Arabidopsis thaliana: one gene and its partners. The protein of the gene in region 1 interacts with the protein of each later gene in a pairwise test. Each region holds a gene or a part of one and is shown in the gene's direction. Other genes may lie near its edges.

What was found.
Region 2: the proteins of RBCS2B (region 1) and ARF16 interact in a two-hybrid assay, tested with the Arabidopsis thaliana proteins (one large-scale study listed by BioGRID).
Region 3: the proteins of RBCS2B (region 1) and AT4G17680 interact in a two-hybrid assay, tested with the Arabidopsis thaliana proteins (one large-scale study listed by BioGRID).
Region 4: the proteins of RBCS2B (region 1) and AT1G09660 interact in a two-hybrid assay, tested with the Arabidopsis thaliana proteins (one large-scale study listed by BioGRID).

The regions. Positions count from the first base shown.
Region 1 is NC_003076.8:15,379,390-15,384,328, reverse strand, and holds RBCS2B (Ribulose bisphosphate carboxylase (small chain) family protein), read left to right. Parts: upstream 1-2,257; 5' UTR 2,258-2,350; coding exon 2,351-2,521; intron 2,522-2,611; coding exon 2,612-2,746; intron 2,747-2,886; coding exon 2,887-3,126; 3' UTR 3,127-3,422; downstream 3,423-4,939. UniProt on the Arabidopsis thaliana protein: RuBisCO catalyzes two reactions: the carboxylation of D-ribulose 1,5-bisphosphate, the primary event in carbon dioxide fixation, as well as the oxidative fragmentation of the pentose substrate.
Region 2 is NC_003075.7:14,701,757-14,708,695, reverse strand, and holds ARF16 (auxin response factor 16), read left to right. Parts: upstream 1-2,341; 5' UTR 2,342-2,518; intron 2,519-3,111; 5' UTR 3,112-3,131; coding exon 3,132-4,217; intron 4,218-4,292; coding exon 4,293-5,149; intron 5,150-5,257; coding exon 5,258-5,327; 3' UTR 5,328-5,631; downstream 5,632-6,939. UniProt on the Arabidopsis thaliana protein: Auxin response factors (ARFs) are transcriptional factors that bind specifically to the DNA sequence 5'-TGTCTC-3' found in the auxin-responsive promoter elements (AuxREs). Could act as transcriptional activator or repressor.
Region 3 is NC_003075.7:9,841,251-9,846,615, reverse strand, and holds AT4G17680 (SBP (S-ribonuclease binding protein) family protein), read left to right. Parts: upstream 1-2,281; 5' UTR 2,282-2,520; coding exon 2,521-2,618; intron 2,619-2,715; coding exon 2,716-2,786; exon of another isoform or gene 2,787-2,865; coding exon 2,866-3,116; exon of another isoform or gene 3,117-3,140; coding exon of another isoform or gene 3,141-3,188; coding exon 3,189-3,713; 3' UTR 3,714-4,006; downstream 4,007-5,365. Other genes in the region: AT4G17690 (Peroxidase superfamily protein), read right to left, coding at 1-489.
Region 4 is NC_003070.9:3,126,482-3,133,331, reverse strand, and holds AT1G09660 (RNA-binding KH domain-containing protein), read left to right. Parts: upstream 1-2,237; 5' UTR 2,238-2,458; exon of another isoform or gene 2,459-2,532; 5' UTR 2,533-2,540; coding exon 2,541-2,671; intron 2,672-3,146; coding exon 3,147-3,232; intron 3,233-3,903; coding exon 3,904-4,028; intron 4,029-4,150; coding exon 4,151-4,288; intron 4,289-4,364; coding exon 4,365-4,481; intron 4,482-4,929; coding exon 4,930-5,073; coding exon of another isoform or gene 5,074-5,127; exon of another isoform or gene 5,128-5,144; coding exon 5,145-5,300; 3' UTR 5,301-5,570; downstream 5,571-6,850. Other genes in the region: AT1G09665 (Toll-Interleukin-Resistance (TIR) domain family protein), read right to left, coding at 1-237; AT1G09650 (F-box and associated interaction domains-containing protein), read right to left, coding at 6,206-6,850.

The DNA.
Region 1 (4,939 bases):
TGTTGACTATCCGGAACCCAATTTTGTATGGTCAATGTAAATTTAAGTAATTATTTTGCCAAAGTGAAAAAACTGAAGGTTTGTTTTTCTATCGTTTCCTCTATAAAAATCTCTATTCATATCACTTCATTTCTGCTCTTATCACTTTTAACTCTTTTTATTCGTTTTATCTCTTTTAACTAACATTTTAGTTCCTTTAAATTTCTCTCCTAATTCTTGCCTTTGGTTCTCTAATGAAAGAGTACCCTTTTTAGGTACATTTCGCACTTGAAAGCATAGCAAAGATGCGTCCATCAATCAAATTTTGAGGGTTGATTTAGAACATTTTAATTTAAAGATGAAAAACAGCCAGTAAAGGTAGTAAAAATACGTAGAAAATAGAGATGTCGTCTCAGAGAAGATGAAAGTTACATAGCCCTTTGGAAAGGAAAAAATGATCACTACCGTCAAAAGTTTGTCACAAGAGATACATGCTCAAAAATTCGCAACACTAAGCCTACGATGGACGGATACAAAGGGATCTGTTTCTTTTACTTTACCCTAACTACTCCTTTCTCAGTTGGCTAGCTTCAAAAAACAGAGTTGCCACGGGAGACAGAATGTTTAAATGGAATCAACAAGTGAACACAAACTGCATGTTCTGTCACGAACCTATGGAAACAAGACACCATCTTTTTTTTGGGTGCTCTTACTCGCAGAAGGTATGGGAGAAGCTGATAAGGGGAATACTACTTGATAAGTACTCGACATATTGGAGGGAAGTCTTTAAAACCATTTGTGACAAAAACTATGACAAAACAAAAATCTTCATTCTACGGTATGTCTTCCAAAACACGGTTCATTCGATTTGGGGAGAAAGAAATGCTTGAAAGCATGGTGAACAACCATCACCAATGGAGAAACTTGTCAAGTTAATTGACAAAAATGTTTGGAACCGGCTGAGCACAATACGGAGTGGGGGGAGCTTTGAAGTATGAAGGAGGTCTTCAAGTTTGGTTTGGTACAAGACAAGCTTAAGACCAAATCCTCTGTTTTAGATTTGTTTTTCAAAAAAGTATGCATTAAGTTGTAAACACGTTTATTTCTCTTTTTAAAATCTAATCTAAAAATTTTCTTTTTTAAAATGACATAGAAAAATCCAACTGTATATTTTAAATCCATAAACATGAATTCTAGAGCCGCAAGTCCAAAAATTTAGAGATGACATCATAGCAAGCAAGGACACGCAAGAATTAATGAAATTTATAATGGAGATAACAAAGCATGAATATTTATAATTTGGAAACTGTTTTACATTAAATTAGATAGTTTACGATACATTCAAAGCTAAAACACTTATTTACAATGAAAAGTAATCAATGTTTCTTGAATGGGTTTGGCTACTTCTTCTCATATGGTTGGACCGGGGCATATATGAGCTTTTACGTGGTATTCGTGGACCCATGACCATATGAGCTTCTTCATGTGGCCTTAGAGTGTGGATTCTTCCCTCGGATCCACACCATCCATTGAAGTGTGTTATAAAATTTCCCCATGATCCGTCATGGCTTTTGTGCTTAAGTTGTCATGGTGGGAATTATCTTGAGGTGCCACATTCGTGCTTAAGTGGGCCGTAAGTGCAATTGCGTTGTGCTCCAAAAGGAACGGTGCCGTGGGTTCCTCTTGTTCATCAGAAATATATTAATTAGCCGTAAAACCTGAAAATTCACAAGCATTTGGATTGTTTTCTAATTTAATATCCATTATGTGACTAAAAGTTCTAGTGATCGTACATACTACATAGAAAATAATAACACAAAATACTAGTTTACATTTCCCAATTAAAAACCATTTTGAATGAACTCTGTCTGATTTAATTATACTTTTAAAATGTGGGATGAATTCAAAGATTATACTTATATTCTTATTATTTAAGATTATCAAGTGGAAAAATAAAAATATGAATGTGTTAATATAAGGTAATAGAAATTTAATCATTTTTTTAATCTATATGTAAAAAGTATTTAACCGATATCTACAATTTGACGCCTCCCAATTGAAAGGAGCCAAAAGCAACCGATCAAGTGGAGACCAGTAGCCATACACATTCACTCCTACCCTTACATGAGAAAGATAAGATTATGGAGTTTTCTGCCACGTGATCTTATCCTAGTGGTCCAAATCGATAAGGGTGTCAACACCTTTCCTTAATCCTGTGGCAATTAACGACGTTATCATGAATTATGGCCCCTTTGATCATTAGGGCTAGTTGCCTCTAGCGGTTCCCACTATATAAAGATGACAAAACCAACAGACAAACAAGTAAGTAAGAGAAAAACCAAAAGAAGAAGAGAAACAACAAGAAGAAGTAATGGCTTCCTCTATGTTCTCCTCCACCGCTGTGGTTACCTCCCCGGCTCAAGCCACCATGGTCGCTCCATTCACCGGCTTGAAGTCATCCGCTTCTTTCCCGGTCACCCGCAAGGCCAACAACGACATTACTTCCATCACAAGCAACGGAGGAAGAGTTAGCTGCATGAAGGTAAATGTCATTAATGAAAACTGTCTTTTGTCATGTGCAATTAGTGCAACTGAACAATACTTTAGAATAATTGGGAATTCGAATTTATAGGTGTGGCCACCAATCGGAAAGAAGAAGTTTGAGACTCTATCTTACCTCCCTGACCTTAGTGACGTTGAATTGGCTAAGGAAGTTGACTACCTTCTCCGCAACAAGTGGATTCCTTGTGTTGAATTCGAGTTGGAGGTAATATACACTGAACTTTTCCTTTGTCTCTAAGCATCCTTTATTCTTCTTCTTCATTGCTAGAAACTTAAGTGGATAACCGAAATAGACTATCACCAATATATATATCAATTGTATTGAATGGTTTTCTTTATATATAGCACGGATTTGTGTACCGTGAGCACGGAAACACTCCCGGATACTATGATGGACGATACTGGACAATGTGGAAGCTTCCATTGTTCGGATGCACCGACTCCGCTCAAGTGTTGAAGGAAGTTGAAGAATGCAAGAAGGAGTACCCTGGCGCCTTCATTAGGATCATCGGATTCGACAACACCCGTCAAGTCCAATGCATCAGTTTCATTGCCTACAAGCCCCCAAGCTTCACCGAAGCTTAATCCCCTTTCTGGAATATTCAGCGTTGATTATTCTGGAACCCATTTCTATGTGGTCAATGCAAATTTAAGAAATTATTTGCCGACTTAACAGTTGAGGAACTATTGTTTGAAAGTGAAAATGTTATTCCTATCAGTTTCTCTATAATTATAGTTATCATTTCATTTCATTTTTGCCCTTAAATCTTTGAAATCTTATTTTTCGTTTAGCTCCTTTAAACAACATTGTGGCTCCTTTAAATTATCCTCATAATTCTTGCTTTTGACTCCCTAGACTAACCAATAAACTCTAATAAAAAAAGAAAAACTTGCTACATTGTTTTAAGAAATTTTGCACATGAAAGCAATCAATCAAACCTCGATATTTAGAGAAAAGTTTATGTAAGGGAGTGTAACCATTTTTCAGATGACATAGCCATTGGAGATTTGGAAAAGGTAGTATATACAGAAAATTCAAATGCATCTTTTAAAATTATAAACATAAAACATGTATTCCAAACCCCTAAGTGGGATATTAAGTCAAGAAATAGCATTACATAAAGCAAGGATCGACAAAGACTGAAATTTGTCAAGCATGAAGTTACTAAATTTTGGAAATTTTGTTTACGTTAAATTTGATCATTGGTTATGCATTAAAAGCTGAAACAGTTATTTAGAAGGAAAAGTAGTTAACGTTCCCAAAAAGTTCTAAATAAAACTAGATTCCAAATGATAATGAAAACGTCGCATCTACTATATGTTTGGTTTTAAGTTTTTGTTTTGACAAAAAATCATATGTTTTTGGATTCTTCTATGCAAACGAAATATAAAAAATTCATGATTCAAATACAAAATACATATAAAAATAATAATTCAAATTATCGAACATTTTTTCCATCTCCCGGATTTAATTCACACATTTTGGCTTCAATTAAAATCCAAGAAAAAGAAACAAAATGACTTATAAAAGACAGAAACTAGTAACTTAGATGGATGGGTTAAGACTTAAGAGTTAAGACTATCTCACTTTCGAAAAATGATTTATTTAGCTGAGGTGCGGAGTGGAGTGGACCTTGTGATCCTTTTCCCTACACGAAAGTTTTTTCGTGACCAGTTAATGTGTACTTTGTACACGTTTCTTCTCATATATATGATTGAAAAGGGGGCATTAATTTGTGAGCCTGAAGGTAGTAGTCGTGATCCATGAGTGCATGACCATAGTTTTATGTGACTTTAAGATGAGTTCTTGACTCCGTTCTACACCTTTGATTACATACTCAAGTTTGCATGGTGGAAATCAGCTTGAGGTGCCATATTTGTGCTTGAGGGGGCCGTAAGTGCAATGGCATGGTACTCCAAGGAGAACGGTTGCGTATGTGGGTTCCCCATTGTTATTGTGATGTGATCAGAGTCGCAAGATAATCGTGAGCTGATATTACTTGTTGATCTAGAGGCAGCGTGCATTACCTCATATAGAAGATACCATGGACTTTGGGAGGTTTTCTTGGAAATTCTTCCATGAGGGGTTTACCGCGCACTTGATACATGTAGATGATGGTTTTGCCGTTTCGTTTGTTCGCTCGGTCTCTTTGTCCCACAAACATATCTTGCATGATGTAGTTGTTGTTAGTATCGACTCAAATATTTACTCTCTCCAACCAGTAAGGTTTTGCTTTTATCCTAGCCACATAAAAATCAGAAATAAAAGTACTATTTGCTAAAAATGAAGTGAAAGTATTGAATTAACCGAAATCAATGTATTCAAATTTTGTCTCGCTTTTCTTTTGTCGACTAATATATTATCATTTGAAGATAATATATAACTTTTCCAACAAAA
Region 2 (6,939 bases), on another chromosome or scaffold:
ATATTTCAGATTTTTTTTTTCGGACAAACATACAACTTCAGATTAAAATATCTTTATCTATATTTTAAAAGAGGAAAAAAAAACTATTTTGTGAAGACAAAATGGGAGAAAGAAAAGGACAAGAGAGAGTCAATGTCTATAACGACTGTTTGTGTCTGATCCCAATTTCATGTCTTTATATGTCTTCTCCTTTATAGGTCGCTTTTCATTTACGCTCTTTCTTGTTTTTAGCTTTCATTTCTCTTTTTAGCTTTTATTTTATCATTCTGTTTTTTTTCTTTTGTCCAAACTATTTTTCAAATTTTTTATCAAATCCATTATATGTGAATAAAATAAAAACCATAAACCCAAATAATTGAATGGAACAAACAAACTAAAATGTATAAATTGAAAAATAAAACAAGCAAGAAATATTGGCGAGCATTTCCATTTCCGTCATGTCTCGTTGCTGTCTATAAATAATTTTTTCTTTTTAAGAAATTTGTTTCGTCCAGTTCTCGCAAAATCCCAAATTGTGGTTTGCCAACCCCTAAAAATATAACATGATTATTAGTAGATTGAGTTCACATGCCCAAGTTTTTCCAAAAGTTAGCCCAAATCTAAATTACATTATTAACGACACTTGTGGTCATGAGGAACATCGATAAACATAGAAGGTGTAACCACTAAGGAGTATTACATGCAAATGTGGTAACCAAAATCTGAAGGAATAATAAGAGGACAATTAGATCAGATCCGGTGGTTTAAGATTCAAATACCGAATTTGCCCTTGTGACATGTAAATTATTACTGGATTAACATAAATGGAGACACACGTAATAACTATTGACAAGGAAAGTATGTGGTATTGACCAAACAACACACATACACAGACACACTTCAAACTTAACCATGGTTACTCACACGTGATATGTCCTCCGGTTAAATATGTTTTCATTATCATTGTTAATTATTATTTTCTTATTATCACATTCCCATATATTAAAAGATTTTAGTGTTATCTAAAATAATTTCAGATTATAATTTCAGTTTCATAATTCCAATCTTGAAAATTTTGGTTCTTATACTTGTGTATATAATTGGATATTGGATTTTTGTTTACGTATGGCCTAGATCAAACTCTTGGTATTATTAATTGGAAAGCTAACTCTTACGACAAAAAAATACAATGACACATGCGGAAATTTATTGAGCCTTGCTACGATCATGTAGGATTGACATATGTATGTCGTATCTCTATCTTATTTGGATATATAGGGTATAGTCATATCAGAGAAATTTTCTAAAATGTTTTCTTAGGATCCTTAAATTATATTTTAAAAGGATTATCTAAGTCTCCTGATTTCCTATGAATTGGTTCGCAACCTACGAAAAAACTATGGGATCAAAAGCAAAAAATTCTAAGTTTTTTTTTCAACTTTGGTAAATTTTAACATAAATAGTTAGATGTTTATCTCCCTTCATTCCTTTTTGAAACCAATAATTTTAATCTTCCTTTCACTTACCATTTAGAAAAACACACGAAACTATGTTTTTTGTTTTTAAAAATATGTGTACCTCATATATATGCTGCATGTACAGCCTTTATACGTCTATATGCAGTTGTGTATTTCATATAATTATACTATACAAATAGAACATAAAATAGAACTATAGTTATTTACAACACAATATATATATATATATACAGCTGTATAATGTATTTTAGAATACTAGTCTGGGCCAATCAAACGGGAATATAAAAACCCGAGGTAGAATTTTATTTTTACATCGTTTAAACACAAAGAAAGATGGTTAGCAACAGCAAATTGCTTACATGGTTATCAACAAAATATCGTGTTTCGTAAACAATAAGTTAAAAATAATTCAATGAACTATTGGGATTATCAAATCAAACTGTAAAAATTAGTTTATTCAAAGAACAATTAATGGCTGAGTTAATTAGCTTGCCTTGAATTGTTAAATAATTAGATGCTTCTAATCAGATTTCAAGGAGATATGTCGGAAGCACCGACGACACGTGCGGATCCGTCACGTGCGCGATTCAACTCTTTAACTCGTATGTCGATATTTCTTTTTTTAATTCTCTTCTTTTTTCACACTCCATATTGTCGATTTTTATGCCCGGAATCAAGGGTTTGACTTACCAAATTGTTACCTTCTTTTAGGCTTAAAATTTATTACACTTAAAATAATCCGGATTAATATTTTCTAAAAAATTCACTAACTAGAGAAGAAATAATAATAAAAAAGACATGTGAAAGAGTTAATGAAAGTTGAGAAAAAAGAGATAATATTATTTTTATTTTATTTTTAGTTTTGTTTTTCTGCAGAAGAGCCAAAGCTCTTTCCTTCATATATACGAACCCCTTTTTCCATTTTCTTTGTGCAAAAAGTGTAACCTTCCTTATCCGATTCTGAAGCAGAAATTAGCTGCAGAATCTTCAGATTCTCTCTATACCTAGATTGGTTTTTCACAGAATCTTCGCTATTTTGTTCAGATCTGCCACTGTTTCAGGTTTGAACTAATTTTACATAAATTTTCTCTCCTAATCTTTCTCTGTTTCATCTTTGGTTTTCTCAATCGATTCGATATGAATTTGATTTGGTTTAGCTTGATTCGATTTGATCATCATGTCTAACTAGTTCTATCTAACTTTGTTAGTTTACTGTTCTTTTGTGTGGTTCTTGTTCTTACTTCAGACCGATCTATGTTTTTTTTGCTTTGTCTGCTTCACACAACACAATCGTGAGCTTGCTCTTATGAAAATCTAATCTAACTAAATTTTCTTAATTTGTGGTCTTTTTAATTTCATAATGGATTAATAAACTAAATATCCTCAAAACGTTCTTGAAGTTTTATAATTTGTATTTTTTGTTTTCTCCGGAGATTTGGTATTTGAAATCTTCTTACTATCTGAAATGACCCTTTTTGTCGGTTTTTCTTGAATCTTTTTATTTATTTTTATTTTCCGGGAAAATTTCGTTTGTTAGGTAAAGTTGACTGATACAAAGGACTTGAGTTGCTAAATAAAAAGCATTTGTATTGTGCTTTTGTTTGGTTACTCTGTTCTCAAACAAAAGCTGATACATTTGTATTTGTTGTTGCAGCAAAAACGGTCACAAAAAATATGATAAATGTGATGAATCCAATGAAAGGTGGAACAGAGAAAGGTTTAGATCCTCAGCTATGGCATGCATGTGCTGGTGGTATGGTTCGTATGCCTCCTATGAACTCTAAAGTCTTTTACTTTCCTCAAGGTCACGCCGAAAACGCTTACGATTGTGTCGATTTCGGTAATCTCCCTATTCCTCCCATGGTTTTGTGTCGTGTTTTAGCCATTAAGTATATGGCTGATGCTGAATCTGACGAGGTTTTCGCTAAACTGAGATTGATTCCTTTGAAAGATGATGAGTATGTTGATCACGAGTATGGTGATGGTGAAGATAGTAACGGTTTCGAGAGTAATAGTGAGAAAACGCCTTCGTTTGCTAAGACTTTGACTCAGTCTGATGCTAATAACGGTGGGGGTTTCTCTGTTCCTCGTTATTGCGCTGAGACGATTTTCCCGAGGTTGGATTATAACGCCGAGCCGCCGGTTCAGACCATTCTTGCTAAGGATGTTCATGGTGATGTTTGGAAGTTCAGACATATTTATAGAGGGACGCCTCGGCGTCACCTTCTTACAACCGGATGGAGTAATTTTGTAAACCAGAAGAAGCTTGTGGCGGGAGATTCGATTGTCTTCATGAGAGCGGAGAATGGAGATCTTTGTGTAGGTATTAGGAGGGCTAAGAGAGGAGGGATAGGTAATGGACCCGAATATTCAGCGGGTTGGAATCCGATCGGTGGAAGTTGCGGCTACTCTTCTCTGTTAAGGGAAGATGAAAGCAATAGTTTGAGGAGAAGTAATTGTTCCCTTGCGGATAGGAAGGGGAAAGTGACGGCTGAATCTGTTATAGAAGCAGCCACTCTTGCTATTAGCGGAAGACCGTTTGAGGTTGTGTACTATCCGAGAGCTAGCACTTCAGAGTTTTGTGTCAAGGCATTAGATGCTCGAGCTGCCATGCGGATTCCGTGGTGCTCAGGTATGAGGTTTAAGATGGCTTTTGAGACAGAGGATTCGTCTCGGATAAGTTGGTTTATGGGGACTGTTTCAGCTGTTAATGTCTCTGATCCTATCCGTTGGCCTAACTCTCCTTGGCGGCTTCTACAGGTAAACAAACACTCAAAATTTTCTTCTAGCTCAAGTTAGAATATAGACTCATAGGTTGCATTTTTGTGTTTTCAGGTGGCGTGGGATGAGCCAGATTTACTCCAAAACGTGAAGCGAGTTAACCCGTGGTTGGTGGAATTGGTATCAAACGTACATCCGATCCCGCTTACTTCGTTTTCGCCACCGAGGAAAAAGATGCGGCTACCTCAGCATCCAGATTACAACAATCTGATCAATTCGATTCCAGTACCTTCATTCCCAAGCAATCCCCTTATTAGATCAAGCCCGTTAAGCTCTGTTCTGGACAATGTTCCCGTGGGTTTACAGGGAGCCAGGCATAATGCTCATCAGTACTACGGGTTATCATCTTCGGATCTTCACCATTACTACTTGAATAGACCACCTCCTCCTCCTCCTCCATCCTCTCTCCAACTTTCTCCTTCTCTCGGTCTCCGAAACATCGATACCAAAAACGAAAAAGGATTTTGCTTTTTGACAATGGGAACAACACCATGCAATGATACCAAATCTAAAAAGTCCCATATTGTATTGTTCGGCAAGCTTATACTACCCGAGGAACAGCTATCAGAAAAAGGCTCAACGGATACCGCAAACATAGAGAAAACGCAGATTTCATCAGGCGGGTCGAACCAAAACGGCGTTGCGGGAAGGGAGTTTTCTTCGTCAGATGAAGGATCACCTTGCTCTAAGAAAGTTCATGATGCATCAGGTTTGGAAACAGGGCATTGTAAAGTGTTTATGGAGTCAGACGATGTAGGTCGAACCTTAGACCTATCGGTTCTTGGTTCATACGAAGAATTGAGTCGGAAACTCTCTGACATGTTTGGAATCAAAAAGTCTGAGATGTTAAGCTCTGTTCTCTATAGGGATGCATCAGGAGCCATCAAATACGCAGGAAACGAACCTTTCAGGTACATTTTTTTATTATAGACAAGATTGTCATATTTTTCGTACTATTTTGATGATGAAGTAAAAGAAAACATCTAATAGTTGTTGGTGTTTTGACTCATCTTTGGCAGTGAGTTCTTGAAGACAGCTCGAAGATTGACAATTCTGACGGAACAAGGAAGTGAGAGCGTTGTAGTATAACTTGGCAGAGTGTTTTGTTGGAGCTTGGAAGTCAAAACTCAACGATTGAATCTTTTAAGTTTTTTTTTTCTTTTATTTGTTTATTTTAGTTCCACTTTTTTGGATTATGTAAGTTTCAAAATGCAATTCACAATCTATTTGCAAATAAAATAGGTTCTTCTTCCCTTGAAAAGCTTCATTGATCAAATAGGGTATAAGAACCAAAGTCTAGACGGCAAATTATGATATGTTTGTCAAAGTCACTTCAATTTGTCTACAAATTAGTGATGACACGCATAAACCAATAGGCCTCAAACATGGTTGCATTGCTTACTTTGATTCATTATGTAATATATAAAGTGATTTTTCTTTAAATATTTCATTATTTGTTTCTTGGGATCAATAAGTTGTTGAGAGGTATGAAAAGTAATAAAAATCTGGAAGACAATTAGTTAGGGTGATGCGAGGGTCATGTCTCTAGGCACATGCACAACAAACAACGGTCGGATCCTATGTTTGACAAAACACAAAGTCCTCAACACCTAAGTTAAGTTGGATCTCCCACTTTTCATTTATAACTCAAAACTATATATATATTTAAAAGATTTTCAGATTCCAATGTATACACAACGAAAATTCCATATCATCTTCAACCTACTAATTATAAATGTACAACGAAAGTACTCTATATTCGCTTCTCGGTTCTCAAAGTCAATGAAGTTCTAAACTCACTTTTTCTCTGCTTATTTAATGTAAAAAGACCAAAAGTTCTAGCCCTTTTTACTTTCTAGTCTTTAATCTTATATAAAACCATACTCACTTTTTCTGTTCCAACCTAATGTCCTATAATGTTCCAATCTCAAGTCTTAATCATGATAGATTTGTAAAAATGTTTTTGTAAAATGACTTGTCCACTCTCAGACCTAATCTGACGACGCTTCTAGACATCAATACAAAAATGAATATGACTTGAGAGTGATGGACATCATGAAATGTGTAAATAGACGAAAGGGAGATATTTTAAATCCAGTTACATGTCATGATTAGAGTTAATATAAATTGAACCAAAACTCAATTATTGTAGCTTAAGAGAGAGTATGAACATTGTATACAAAAATAGATACACACATAAATTAATTGCATATCTGAATAAATCAAAAGTTTAGGAGTTTACATTAATCAAAAGTGATTGTGACAACTCTACGTATGAAGTTGACTCTTGAACCACACATGTTCAGAATTCACAATCCCAACAAGATCATAAGAGAAAACAAACAGCAAAATGAGAGATACATGGGGTAGTCTTGATTTGGATTAATCATTTAATTAATCAAAGTAGTCAAGTTAATCAACTGGCGATCATAATATATATGTTAATTATTAGGACAAAATACTTAGGGTTTTGCAACAAAACTATTGTTAACCATGGTTGAGTACTTGAGTTAAGACGATATCGACAGAAACAAGTGTGACAAAAGTCAAAGAGGAGAAGCGACAGAGTAGCGAACGTTGTGGCACTTTGAATACTATTTTTTATGTAAAATAAACAAATAATTTTTCTTAAATAATAGATTTAAAAAGTAAAAAAAAGAGGACAAGAGAATTAAAAAGAGGCACGAGGTAGACAAAGATT
Region 3 (5,365 bases), on another chromosome or scaffold:
TAAATTTCCTTTGACTTTATGGGCTTTTGACTCAAAACCATCTTTACGGCCCAGTTTGACTTCATAGAAAGGCCCACCAACCATTGTGACAAGGTCACGTGTGGCCTGAGCCAGGATGTCTGCGCAGGACACCACCCCGGGACAAGACAATTCAAGAGCGGTTTTGATGCGAGTCACAATGTCGAATGCATCTCCCGGAAGCGACTCGTTGAGGTCATCGTCACGTTCGGCTTTGTTGAAAGAATTTGTAGCGATAAGGACGGAAGCATCACATCCTTCCATGAAACAATCATGGAAAAAGAGACGGAGTGTTCCAGCAGCTGTCGTTGGCTGCTGGCCTTGCTTTGGTGTAACGGTTTCACGTACGATTTTATTGAAATCGGGACATGTTTTTTGGTAATAATCTTTTGTTAAATTTGGTGGTGGTGCCGAGTATATAGACGGGACAAAGACTAGGACGACGAAGAGAACATTTATAACCGAAGACATTGTGTATTTCACGAGACTCGTATCGATTTGTGAAAGAAATATTGTTTGTAAAATATGGAAACGGAATTGAAATGTAAAGAGATGTCTATGAGGTAGACTTCTTTATTGAATTGTTATCGGTGAAATATAGAAGCATGTACGTGTGGTTGGAGTTTGGCTTTTGTTATGTTCTTTTTATTTCAGTGATTGGTCTATATTTAGTTTGTTTTTACTTTCATTTTTCATTAGAAACGTTTTCTAACACTAATTCATTATAAAATCGATTGGCTTCTAGGTTAATTAAACCACAAACATGGAATGCATGCTAATTGGGGAAATGTGAAGGTGATTAATCACTCAATTGATTTGTTTTGTATTACTACTCCTGTTTTTGAAAGAATTTTGGAATGGTGATTAATCAACTAAAGCATCTACAGAAAACATTATTGATGGTTAGAGATATGAAAATTTAAATTGATAGGCTAAACATACAAGCAAACTTTTACTTAATCTAATGTTGCTCTTGATTTGAAATATAAACAAAAACAAAATTAAGAAAAATGTTGACTTCTGAGTTCTGACCACTAAAATCATGCAACTGCTTGACAATGGACATGCCATCCATCTTATATCAATTTGTTGCTTACCTTGCCACCACATTTCTAGATTTTTATGTCATCTTGTTGACATTTATTAGTATATAAATTCCTACCATTCTTTCTGACCAACATATGCTAGAACCAAATTATTTGTTGTTAGATATCAATTTTCGCTAACGTGTTACTGTTTATAAAGTATTAAATCATGCCTATATATATTATTATGTTTCATACTCCTCCAAACATTTTGATAAGCTTGATTTTCTTTTTATATATAGTTCAATTTTTGTAATCTCATGTATACGCTATGGCAATGTGTACTGATGACGAAACATTATGTACCTATATGTATCATGTGGTAAGTAGAACATTGTTTGTTTGCTAGAATATGTATGTCGCTTATCGTTTTGAAAAAGACTCACCAGCATATATATAATATGCAACTGTGAAGCATAATATCAATGAGGAAACGTGAAGTGCACCAAGGGATAATCTAATTTGATACCTTTTATTTGAAGAATATATGACGTCCGATCCATTAATGCTTTATATGCATCTAGCCATCGACATGGATCTAGACCTTTCAATAATTGACGACTCCTCCGTTTTCTTTTTATAATATCAAAAATTGGGACATTGGTTATATTGGAAGAGTGGTGAAGGATTTATCCTATACATCAAACCTAGATATGAATCCCAACCAACTATGGACCGCTATTGTTCTCTCTTTGTTTTTTTTTTTTGCTATGAAACTATGGACCGCTATTGTTAGCTTTTTATTTAGTTATTGTAAACATCTTAAATGAAAAAAAAAAAGAAATACTCGGTTCACTATATGCATCATGTAATAATAATCTAGGTTTTGGCCCAAGATCTATCTAAGTTATAATTAAAACGAAAAAAAAAAACAAAAAAAAAAAATTGAAAAAGAAAATTGTTAGGTAGCTAAAACCCTCAGGTACTACAAGATTAACGAATACATCTACAGATTATTCATCTGGAACATGCAAATATGTGATGTATCGACTGATCTAAAATGGATTAGTTTGGTTGAAAGACGGTTTGGTTTAGTTAGGTTGGAAGGGTCTTTGGGAAGAGTGTTACATCGTTCACATCTTTTAATTTTGATTCAGTCTCTAAATTATACTATATAGTCTATATTGCAACTGAAGAATGATTGAAAGAGTACTAGTACTAAGGAAAAAAATAGAAGTAGATGCAAAAAAAAAATGGTAACATTAGTGTGAATCATGCATATAATGTTGAAAGCTTTAAAAAGACCCACAAGTCTTTGTACCCTTTCGTCCCCCTCCCCTCTAAAACCTCATCTTCCCCATTTATTTCTCCCATTCTTTCTCCTTTTCTTTTTCAGTTCTTAATTCATACTTGAAAAAATCAATACATTTTCATCATCATCAGCATCATCATTTCCCATATACACAAACACACATGCATGCCCTTATTATCTGATAATGAACGCATAGGTCTCTTCTCTGATAGCTCAATGGCGATTCAAGCTCAGCATCCTTCACGTTTCTTCTTCAACAACAGGTAAAAATCTTCATATAATCATATAGTAATAGTATACGCCCTGTGTATTTATTATGTATGTGATGTTTTCAATTTCTTATGAAAATTTATTGAACAGTAACGGACAAGAAGCTAGTGATTGTTCGTTGCAGCCTCAAGACACTCCTTTCACTAATTTCACCAAAGCTGGTCTCTCTTCTCATTATTCCCATATCGTTTCCAAATTTTTTCCTTCAATTCCATTCAATCATCACCGTTTTTGAAACAGGGGTTGATTCAAGAAAACGATCAAGAGAAGTTTATTCATCGGCTCTGATGAACCCTCCACCTCCAAAACCGTCGCAAGTTATTGATATAACCGAGTTGTTGCAGAAAACGCCTAACGTGGTTTCCACTGGTCTTCGATTATTTCATGATCAGTCACAGAATCAACAACAGTTTTTTTCTTCTCTTCCCGGAGATGTTACCGGAAAGATTAAACGGCAAAGAGATGAACTAGACAGATTCATTCAGACTCAGGTGTCTTATTAAACTCGACCTAAAATGTGGTTTGGTTTGTTTTTTCTTTGTGTTGATAATTTGATTTTGCAGGGTGAAGAGTTGCGGCGTACGTTAGCGGATAACAGAGAGAGACGCTACGTAGAGTTATTGTGCGCTGCGGAGGAGATAGTCGGACGGAAATTGAGAAAAAAAGAAGCGGAGTTGGAGAAAGCCACGCGCCGTCACGCTGAGCTAGAAGCGCGTGTAGCTCACATCGTGGAAGAGGCGCGAAACTGGCAGTTAAGAGCGGCGACGCGGGAAGCTGAGGTGTCCTCGTTACATGCTCATCTCCAACAAGCCATAGCTAACCGCCTAGATACGGCGGCGAAACAGAGTACGTTCGGAGAAGACGGCGGAGACGCGGAAGAAGCAGAGGACGCTGAATCGGTTTACGTGGATCCGGAGCGGATCGAATTGATCGGACCAAGTTGTAGGATTTGCCGGCGGAAATCTGCGACGGTGATGGCATTGCCGTGTCAACATTTGATTCTTTGTAATGGATGCGACGTCGGAGCAGTGCGAGTCTGTCCGATTTGCCTCGCCGTGAAGACTTCCGGTGTCGAAGTTTTATTTTGATGATGATGAGTATTTAATTGATAGGCCCGTTATAGGCCCATGGGTCCATCCAGATCTAAGCAACAAACAAGACAACAGTACAGAAAAAGGACGTTTTCTATAGGCAAAAATAAAGATTGAAAATGAGATTTGAATTATATATAGTTGATGATGTACATAGGACATAGCCACATGTAGTGGCATTTTTTTCGTTTTGACATCTTCGTTTACTTTCTTTCTTTTGGATATTCTTCGCTTTTTTTTTCAGAAAACGTTTTGAAGAAATTGCTAAAATTGAATTCATTTACGTTAGAAATCTTACTATATTATTTGGGAAGTACATTTTAAATGTAACCTTACTTTTTGTAAATAATTACATAGGTATACCATTAGAAATAAAATTTTAAAGAGTAAATTAATTTATCTGTTTAAGGATTAAAAAGTCAAATACTAATTTAATTAATTAAATTTAATTAAAAAACGAAATACATTTTTAATTTCCAAAAACAATAACCAATCAAAATCAACATATAAGATTTGATATCTAAATTTTAATTAATTTAATTTAATTAGAAAAACGAAATACATTATTAATTTCCAAAAAAATAAACAATTAAAATTAACAAATTAGATTTGATATCTAAATTATCATATTAATTTTTTATTAATTATTATAGTTCACTTCTCATCTTTATATGATTCTATTTTTGCGAAAAAATAATATCATCATTATAAAAAAATAATTAGAGTTTTTTCGCATATGCCATAATTTGAATTTTTAAAAACGAATATAAACTGTTCAATACATGAAAAATATTATAACGGGTGAAAATAGATTTAAGAAAACTTTCTACTGAGTTAACAGGTCATAATTTGAAATATTTATATTCAATTTTATACATATTATATTAAAAAATTATAATCTTATATACTACAATAATTAATAAGATATTAGATTTTTTATGTGTATGATGTGATTCAATTTTTAACAAGCTGGAAAATCGTAAAATTGACGGGTTTAGATCGATATTAATACAAGATGGTATACTACAGGTGAAAGTCTTAAATTAACAATCAAACTACAAGTGTATAATCTTAGTTTTTTCAGTAAAGCTAAGATTGAATCCAAATTAAAATCTAATTTTGCATACAATCTATCTCTTATAATTATAAATGTTATGCATACATTCACATTGCCTCACAATCAATATAGAATATCGATTATTTCGAACAATAGATAGAGATTCATAAGTAAATTACTTCATGTTCTAATGATATTTATCTCCTAATATTACTATCCATTTATGCGTATTCTTATGGATTTTTCTTTCAGGATCAACATTAGATTACAAGAAAATAGATGATAGTTATACAATCTTAAAAATAAACAAAACAAATATTACTTAATTTGATTTTTTATTTTTAACTAAAATCAACAAATTTATTAGTTTATAATAAACCAAATACTATTACCTAACCATATAAAAACCAAATACTATTATACTTTAATTATAAAAACTCTATTTTATTGAAAGGTATACACTAAAAATCGGTTTTATATACTACAATATCATAAATTTATAAATCGCAAATTATTTTTAAATATATTAATCGAAGATGTACCACATGTCAATCTCTCGATTTTTTATATATTACAATAACAATATTTAAAA
Region 4 (6,850 bases), on another chromosome or scaffold:
GCACCAGCTTGACTCTGCGTATCTTTTGGAAAATATGGTGAGAGCCATCCTCGATTGCTTGATCCTTGCAAAGAGATGTTTGAGGTCTTTCCCTTTTTGTTCGTCTTTGTCTATGAAGAAGTTGATTCCATGTCTTTTAAAAGCGTCAACGAGGTGGCTCACAAAGCTGCAGCGTAGCTCCTCTCCCCGGAAATTGATGAACACTTGGATCTTCCTATTACTACTACTCCTTTTCATGTTGTTTAATTTCCTTTAGTTGTGAGCGTGAGCAATGAAGAGAAGTTGGTTAGACTTTGTTCCACTCTTATACAATTTTGTTTGGACAGAAGACAAGTTTTGTAATGTAATATGGAACAATGGTTACTAAGATGTTTAGCAAGAGCTTAATTTATAGTATATGATATTGGGATTTGGGAGGGTTTAGGTACATTGTTAATGTTAGGTTTATCGATATTACTGGAGGGAAGGCGTCGTTAGGAACTTTGTCATTAACTTTCTTGAGTTAACATGCGTAAATGCAGTGGCGGACCCAGAATTTGATTATTCCAAAAATTGGACAGAGGAGGAAGAAAAGTCACAATCCCAAACAGTTAATACAAGATCGTAGAAAAGCGTTTTTGGCGCACGTGCGCGGAGAGAGAAAGCAGAAGCAGACCTCACTTTTCTTTTTTTCTTGGTTTTTTCTTGTCTCTGGATCCTCATTGTTGTTCTCACCACCACCTACTAGCTACTACCCACATTTTTCCCCAATGTCGAACTTCTATCCGTTTTCTTCTTTGGTTTTAGGTCTTTCTTTTTGGTAGTTGTACTACAACATGTATACTTTTAATTTGCAGCAAACATGAAACTTCTCCTTTGTCAGCACTCAGCCTTACGGAACAACATGTACCCCTAAACAAAACTCTACATGACCTAGGGGATTTGAAACATCCCAAGAAATGGATTTTTTTTTTTTTTTTTTTTTTTGGGCTGTGATTGTTAATGAAAACCTTTTTATGTATACATTTGATAAAGTAAATACTACATATATTCTAGTAGAATAATACCATTTACCTAATATACTGAAATTTCTTGGGATGTTTCAAATCCCCTAGGTCATGTAGAATTTTGTTTAGGGTTACATGTTGTTCCGTAAGGCTGAGTGCTGACAAAGGAGAAGTTTCATGTTGGCTGCAAATTAAAAGTATACATGTGTAGAACAGCTAACAAACAGAAAGCATAGAAAGAAGGGAACCCTAGGATAAAGAATTAAAAAGGGGAACAAAGATTTATGCTGTTTCTTCTTTATTTCTCATTGGCAAAACGGCAGAATCTTCATTAAGTTGCGTTTTATTATTTTTTCCATTTCTTATAGTAGCCAACTTCCAACTACACCATTTAACCCGGCCGTTTTTTTTTGTTGCTAAGTAATAGGTAAATATCCTATTAATGAAAATTATGATTTACATGAACAATAGCTAAGATTTAGGATACAAACAAGGAAGACGATCAAGGATCTTGAAGATAGAAGTAGGCGCAAATGTGTTGTGAATTATGCAGCATCTTATTTCTTTGCTTCCAAGTTGTATATAAATCACGGCTTGAGTAACTAGCTTCCTTAGTGTATATGTGACTGCATCTATCATATACAGTATGTGTGTAAACTGCGTTTGGTGTAAAATGTAATTATAATTTATAGAAAATAAATTAAAGTAGTGGAACATGGAAATCACCGTTCAGATATTCTAACTGATTCACTATAGACGGAATTCTTGTTTTCGTCCATTGTTTTTACTTTTTAGAATTTTTAAGTAAAATAAATCATCCATTACATCACTGAGGTGACATCATCGCTCAGGGGACATCACTAACTACGTTCCCACTAAAAATATAGGCAAATGCAATCAAGTGAATGATGATGACCTTTCAAGAGTTCGTAGAGATAAATAAAATAATAAATATTTGGCATGTTGAGGATCAAATGAATTAGATGCATAAGAAAGGTACTAGGTAGACCAGGCCCGGCCCAATGTGTTTTGTTGTCTAAAGCAAAACAAAAAAAATTAAGCCCATTAAAGAATAGTTATATTGCCTCGGAAGGGCTCGAATCCATCATCTTCATTTTTTTAGTTTACACGGATTGGAAGTAGGCTACAATGTCCCTGAGGGAAGGTAGGCCCATTATTAGTGACCTGAAGCCCAATAATAATGAAAACGCAAAGAACCTTTTAAGAAGAAGATGACAGAATCTCTAGAGAATAAAAAACTAAACACAAAAATAGAAAATATCGAAAATGAGATGAGAGAGAGAGGAGGAGTCTCTCATCGTGAGTAGGGCTTTTGACTCCCTCCCTACTTTGCCTACTTCTTCTTCTTCCTCTGTGGCCACTCTACACAGTCCACACCTACTTCAAGACACCTTTCTCATCCTTGAGATCGGCGTCAGATCCTCCGCCGCTTCTCCTCTTCACTATCTCCGGTCACAACTTGTTTTTCTCTGTTTTTCTTTATCTCTACTTTATGCACAATCTGACTTTCTAAGTGGATTTACAGTGTTAAAGATGATGGAATCTGGCGCTGGTTTCGTGGCCATGGAAGAGAGGATCTCTCCTGGAAGTTTCTTCCAGTATCCTCTTTCTGGATTCCGTGCTTCTCCTAATCGATCCCCTTGTCCTCCCTCTGATCGTGAAAGGTTTCTATTTTCTCTCTTCTTTCTCAACCTTTTTGCTATTTGTGAATCTGTGTTAGCTTGATTGTTGTGGACCCGTTTCTTCTTCTGGACTTGTTGCTTTAGCACAACTTCAAGTGTGTCTCTTTGTGATTGGTGGGTATTGTTGCCTTTGATTGGATCAGTGTTTAAAAATGATTCTGTCAAGTTTGTATTTTCATGAACTGCTTACACAGATCCAAATTCTCGATCATACTCTCTCACCTCAACATGTCGCCTTTTTCACAATTAGCTCACTTATTATTGGATTCTATACAATGTACTCTTAAGGATTTTAACAAGATAGCTATATTTTATCAATGTTTTAGAAATGAACGTACTGATGTATTTTTAGAAGCTTAGTTTACATGTGACTGAGTGCTGATTCCAATGTCACCCACTCGATTCACACGCAACATCCACTGAAACTTAAGTTTTTTTTGTTCTTAACCTTGTGCAGGTACTTGACTGAATTATTGCAAGAGAGACAAAAGTTGGGTCCCTTTTTGCAAGTTATGCCAAATTGCTGCAGACTGCTTAATCATGGTGAGCTATCTTATTAAGCTATGTGATTTTGAATTTAGTATTTCCTTAGAGTGTGTGCACACGAACTTAAGAAATTTCCCACGTGAACAAAGCCTTAGTGCGCATCACCCTGGCTTTTTTCCAGTTAAAGGTTTACAGAAATTGGGTAAGGATAGTTGAGTAACAAAAATGTATCTACATGCAACTTTTTATTCTCTTTGTTATGGCCTTCTTAATATATATATAGCCAATCAAAGTCTATGTTACTTTTAGCATTTAGAAACAGTTTTTAATTGCAACTTATTGCTAAATGATCATCCTTGATGAGTTATGTTATGTGAAAATGAATTAAGTCTATGTGTTTGCAAATGATAATGATCGTTAAGCAAATGATCACCAACTAATTTATACTAGGAAGCCTATTTGTCCGTAAATATGCATATGGTGATTAGAAGCTTGTTTCCAGACTTGTTTACCTAGCTTTTAGTTGTCCATCATGCCCTTAAGGGATGTGTGAACCTTAAAAGACAAAGATGTGTTTGAAGTTTTCATCATTCTAACCTATTAGAACCCGAGCCTTTTGTTTCATTATTGGCATTAAAGATAAGAGACTGAAGATGCCCCTGATGTATAACTCTTACAGTTTCTTTTATACGTTTGCTTAACTGCCAACATTGCTGACGTCTGTGCAGAAATCAGGAGGGTCTCTAGTTTTCCTGATCTTGATAGATATGAGCATGGCAGTCCATTTAGATCGCTTGGTCAGCCGACAAATGGAAAGCTTGATTTAGAGGGATGGTCGATGATGCAAGCCGAGGTAAGCCACTGCTGATAGTTGTAGTCAATTAACTGATTCATGTTGAATTGTAATGGTGATACTAATAATTTTTATAATCAAGAGTGGGCTTTACCGATATTGATTGCTTTTGCTTTCTTCAGGAAAACTGTCACCTCCAGAGAGCTTCTCCATTTCGCGGTCCTTCCCCAGTGGGCTGGATTGGGATGCCGGGACTCCCTAACCCACCCATTGTGAAAAAAGTGATTAGACTTGATGTCCCAGTGGATAAATATCCAAGCGTATGTCTTAAATCTTTACCCAAATAGGTTATTATAATTGGATTGTTCTAGAGTTTAAATCCATTGAGCGTTGCAGTATAATTTTGTTGGGAGGATTCTTGGGCCACGTGGAAACTCCCTAAAAAGAGTTGAGCTAGCAACCCACTGCAGGGTGTTTATCAGAGGACGAGGATCTGTGAAGGATACTGTCAAGGTATGGCTCCTTGTTTATTAATTCTCTGAAGGATTCCATTTTGTCTCTGTTTTATTCTTACAGTTCAAAACTTCACTTTATGTCATGTTTTTACCTGTTAATCAGTTTTATAACCATGTTTTGAATACGCACAATTTTCTTCCGGCCTTTAGGAGCAATTTGTTTTCCTTTTGTGTATAAGCTTACGTCTTTTAGCATATCAAGCTTATTGTTGAAGTAATGATACATTTTTTACTGCATCAGCAGCTACTACTCTTGTTTACATTTGAAGATATGTAAATTTTGGCAGCCTGTATAAGAAATAAACTGTTAAAGTTTTAGGTTCTTACATCATCAGAAGTAAATAGAGAAAGTTTTGAAATTCATTTTTTTCTGACTCTTATATATTCTCTGACAATCTACCATGCGGTGTGAAAGCTTATCCATTTAGTTCTTTACTTCCCTGCAGGAGGAAAAATTAAAAGGTAAGCCAGGGTACGAGCATCTCTGCGAGCCACTACATGTACTGATCGAGGCCGAGCTTCCAGAAGACATAATAAACTCTCGATTGGAGCATGCAGTGCATTTCCTGGAATCACTCCTGAAGCCGATGGTACATTCTTATCACAAAAGTCCAAACATGTCTATTTTGTTCACATGGTTTTGATTCTTCTCTCTCTACAGGACGAGTCAATGGATCACTACAAGAGGGAACAGCTGAAGGAGTTAGCGGCTTTGAATGGTACACTAAGGGAGGAGAGTCCGAGTCCGAGCTTGAGCCCTTGTTTGAGCCCCAGCATGTCCCCTTTCAACAGCAAGCGTGCTAAGACAGAGATATGATCAAGAGAAACCACTAGTGCATGGGTCTTGTGGGCAGGATCATGAGTTTGCTAAGTTCTAACGTTTGGACTCTTGAATTAATTTATTTTGTCATTAACTTTATTCTTTATTTTTGTTGGTTAGCTGAGATGACCATTAACCAGTGGGTAATAAACTAATAATGGTGTTTATGAAATTGTAATCTCCTTCTCAATCATTGTAACCTTTATTTAAGTTTTAAACCCCAAACGTTTATTTCATTTTAAGTTTTGAAATTTCTCCATTTGTCTATCTACCATTCATTATCAGTTTGTTTTGAGATTTAAGGTTCAGATTCAAATGTCGGAAACTATTAGACAACAAAGAGATTCACCATTGACCAGTGTGTAATAAACTAATAATGGTGCTTATGAAAATGTAATCTCCTTCTCAATTATTTATTGATTATGGCTCTGATTCTGATGCCATGTAAAAGGAGATTATTTCAATTGAATTACAGAACAAAGTCATTGGAAGCTTCAGATAGTTGTTTGAGTTATTTGATTGGTGGTTTCGGAGAGATTCGTTACCTTGTTTCAATTTCTTTAACATTTCTTCAGAATTTGAATAGATACATAGATTTAAGACTTTGTTTTCGGGGAGTTTATAGCAACAAGATCCTAGTTTGGGCTATCGTTGAGAAACCTATAAGGTGCCTTAAAGATTCTAGAGCATATTGTGGTCACTGAAAGTATGCAAGGAAAAACGACATCATCCGACTGTGTGAGATAAATTAGAAGCATAACAAGCGCATAAAAAAGCACGACAAAAATTGTTGGTACATGTTGAAACAAGCCCTTCTTACATAAAACAAGAATCTGAAACATAATCATAGGCAGCTTTAAGAGTTGCAAACTTGGACAAACAAACGGATGGTGAAAGAAGCTTTATGAAATAGATATTAAACTCGGGAAATAACAGACAGGATGACCGATGGAGTCAGCCTCGAAAGCAACATCATATGATTTGGTTTCGTCATCATGTACCACCATTGTTCGTTTTCGTACACGACAATAAAACAACAACTTTTTCTTCTTCTTCTTCTTCCCATCCAAAAGTGCTAGTGGCAAGACGGCGCATACTTGAGTAGGACCAAACCAACGAGAAGTTATATCCAGATTAATGGAACACATTTTGTGCCATGTCTTGTTACCTGAATTGAATGACCATATCACTTGGTTGGGCAGCTTCATCTCGGAAACGCACAAGCGGTTGTCGAGGTTGCACATGACTATATCGAATCCATCTACATTGGCAAAGGGAGCTTTAGAGACAACTTGAAAGGTTTCGGTGTGAAGATCGAACGAAAGAATTTTGGTTTCCTCGCACTCGGTGAACCAATGAAGCGACCCATCTACGCAGACAGGTGCGGGGCAACCAACAATCCTATAAGGAGCAGCTGGTGAAACATACCTCCAAGCGTTGGTGCTAAAGTCGAAAACCTCGCATGTAGTAGCGTTTTCTAGGCCAATTTCTATAGAGTTGTATAACCAAACGGGCTTGTATGTGCCTGTGAGTTTGTCTTTACCGAA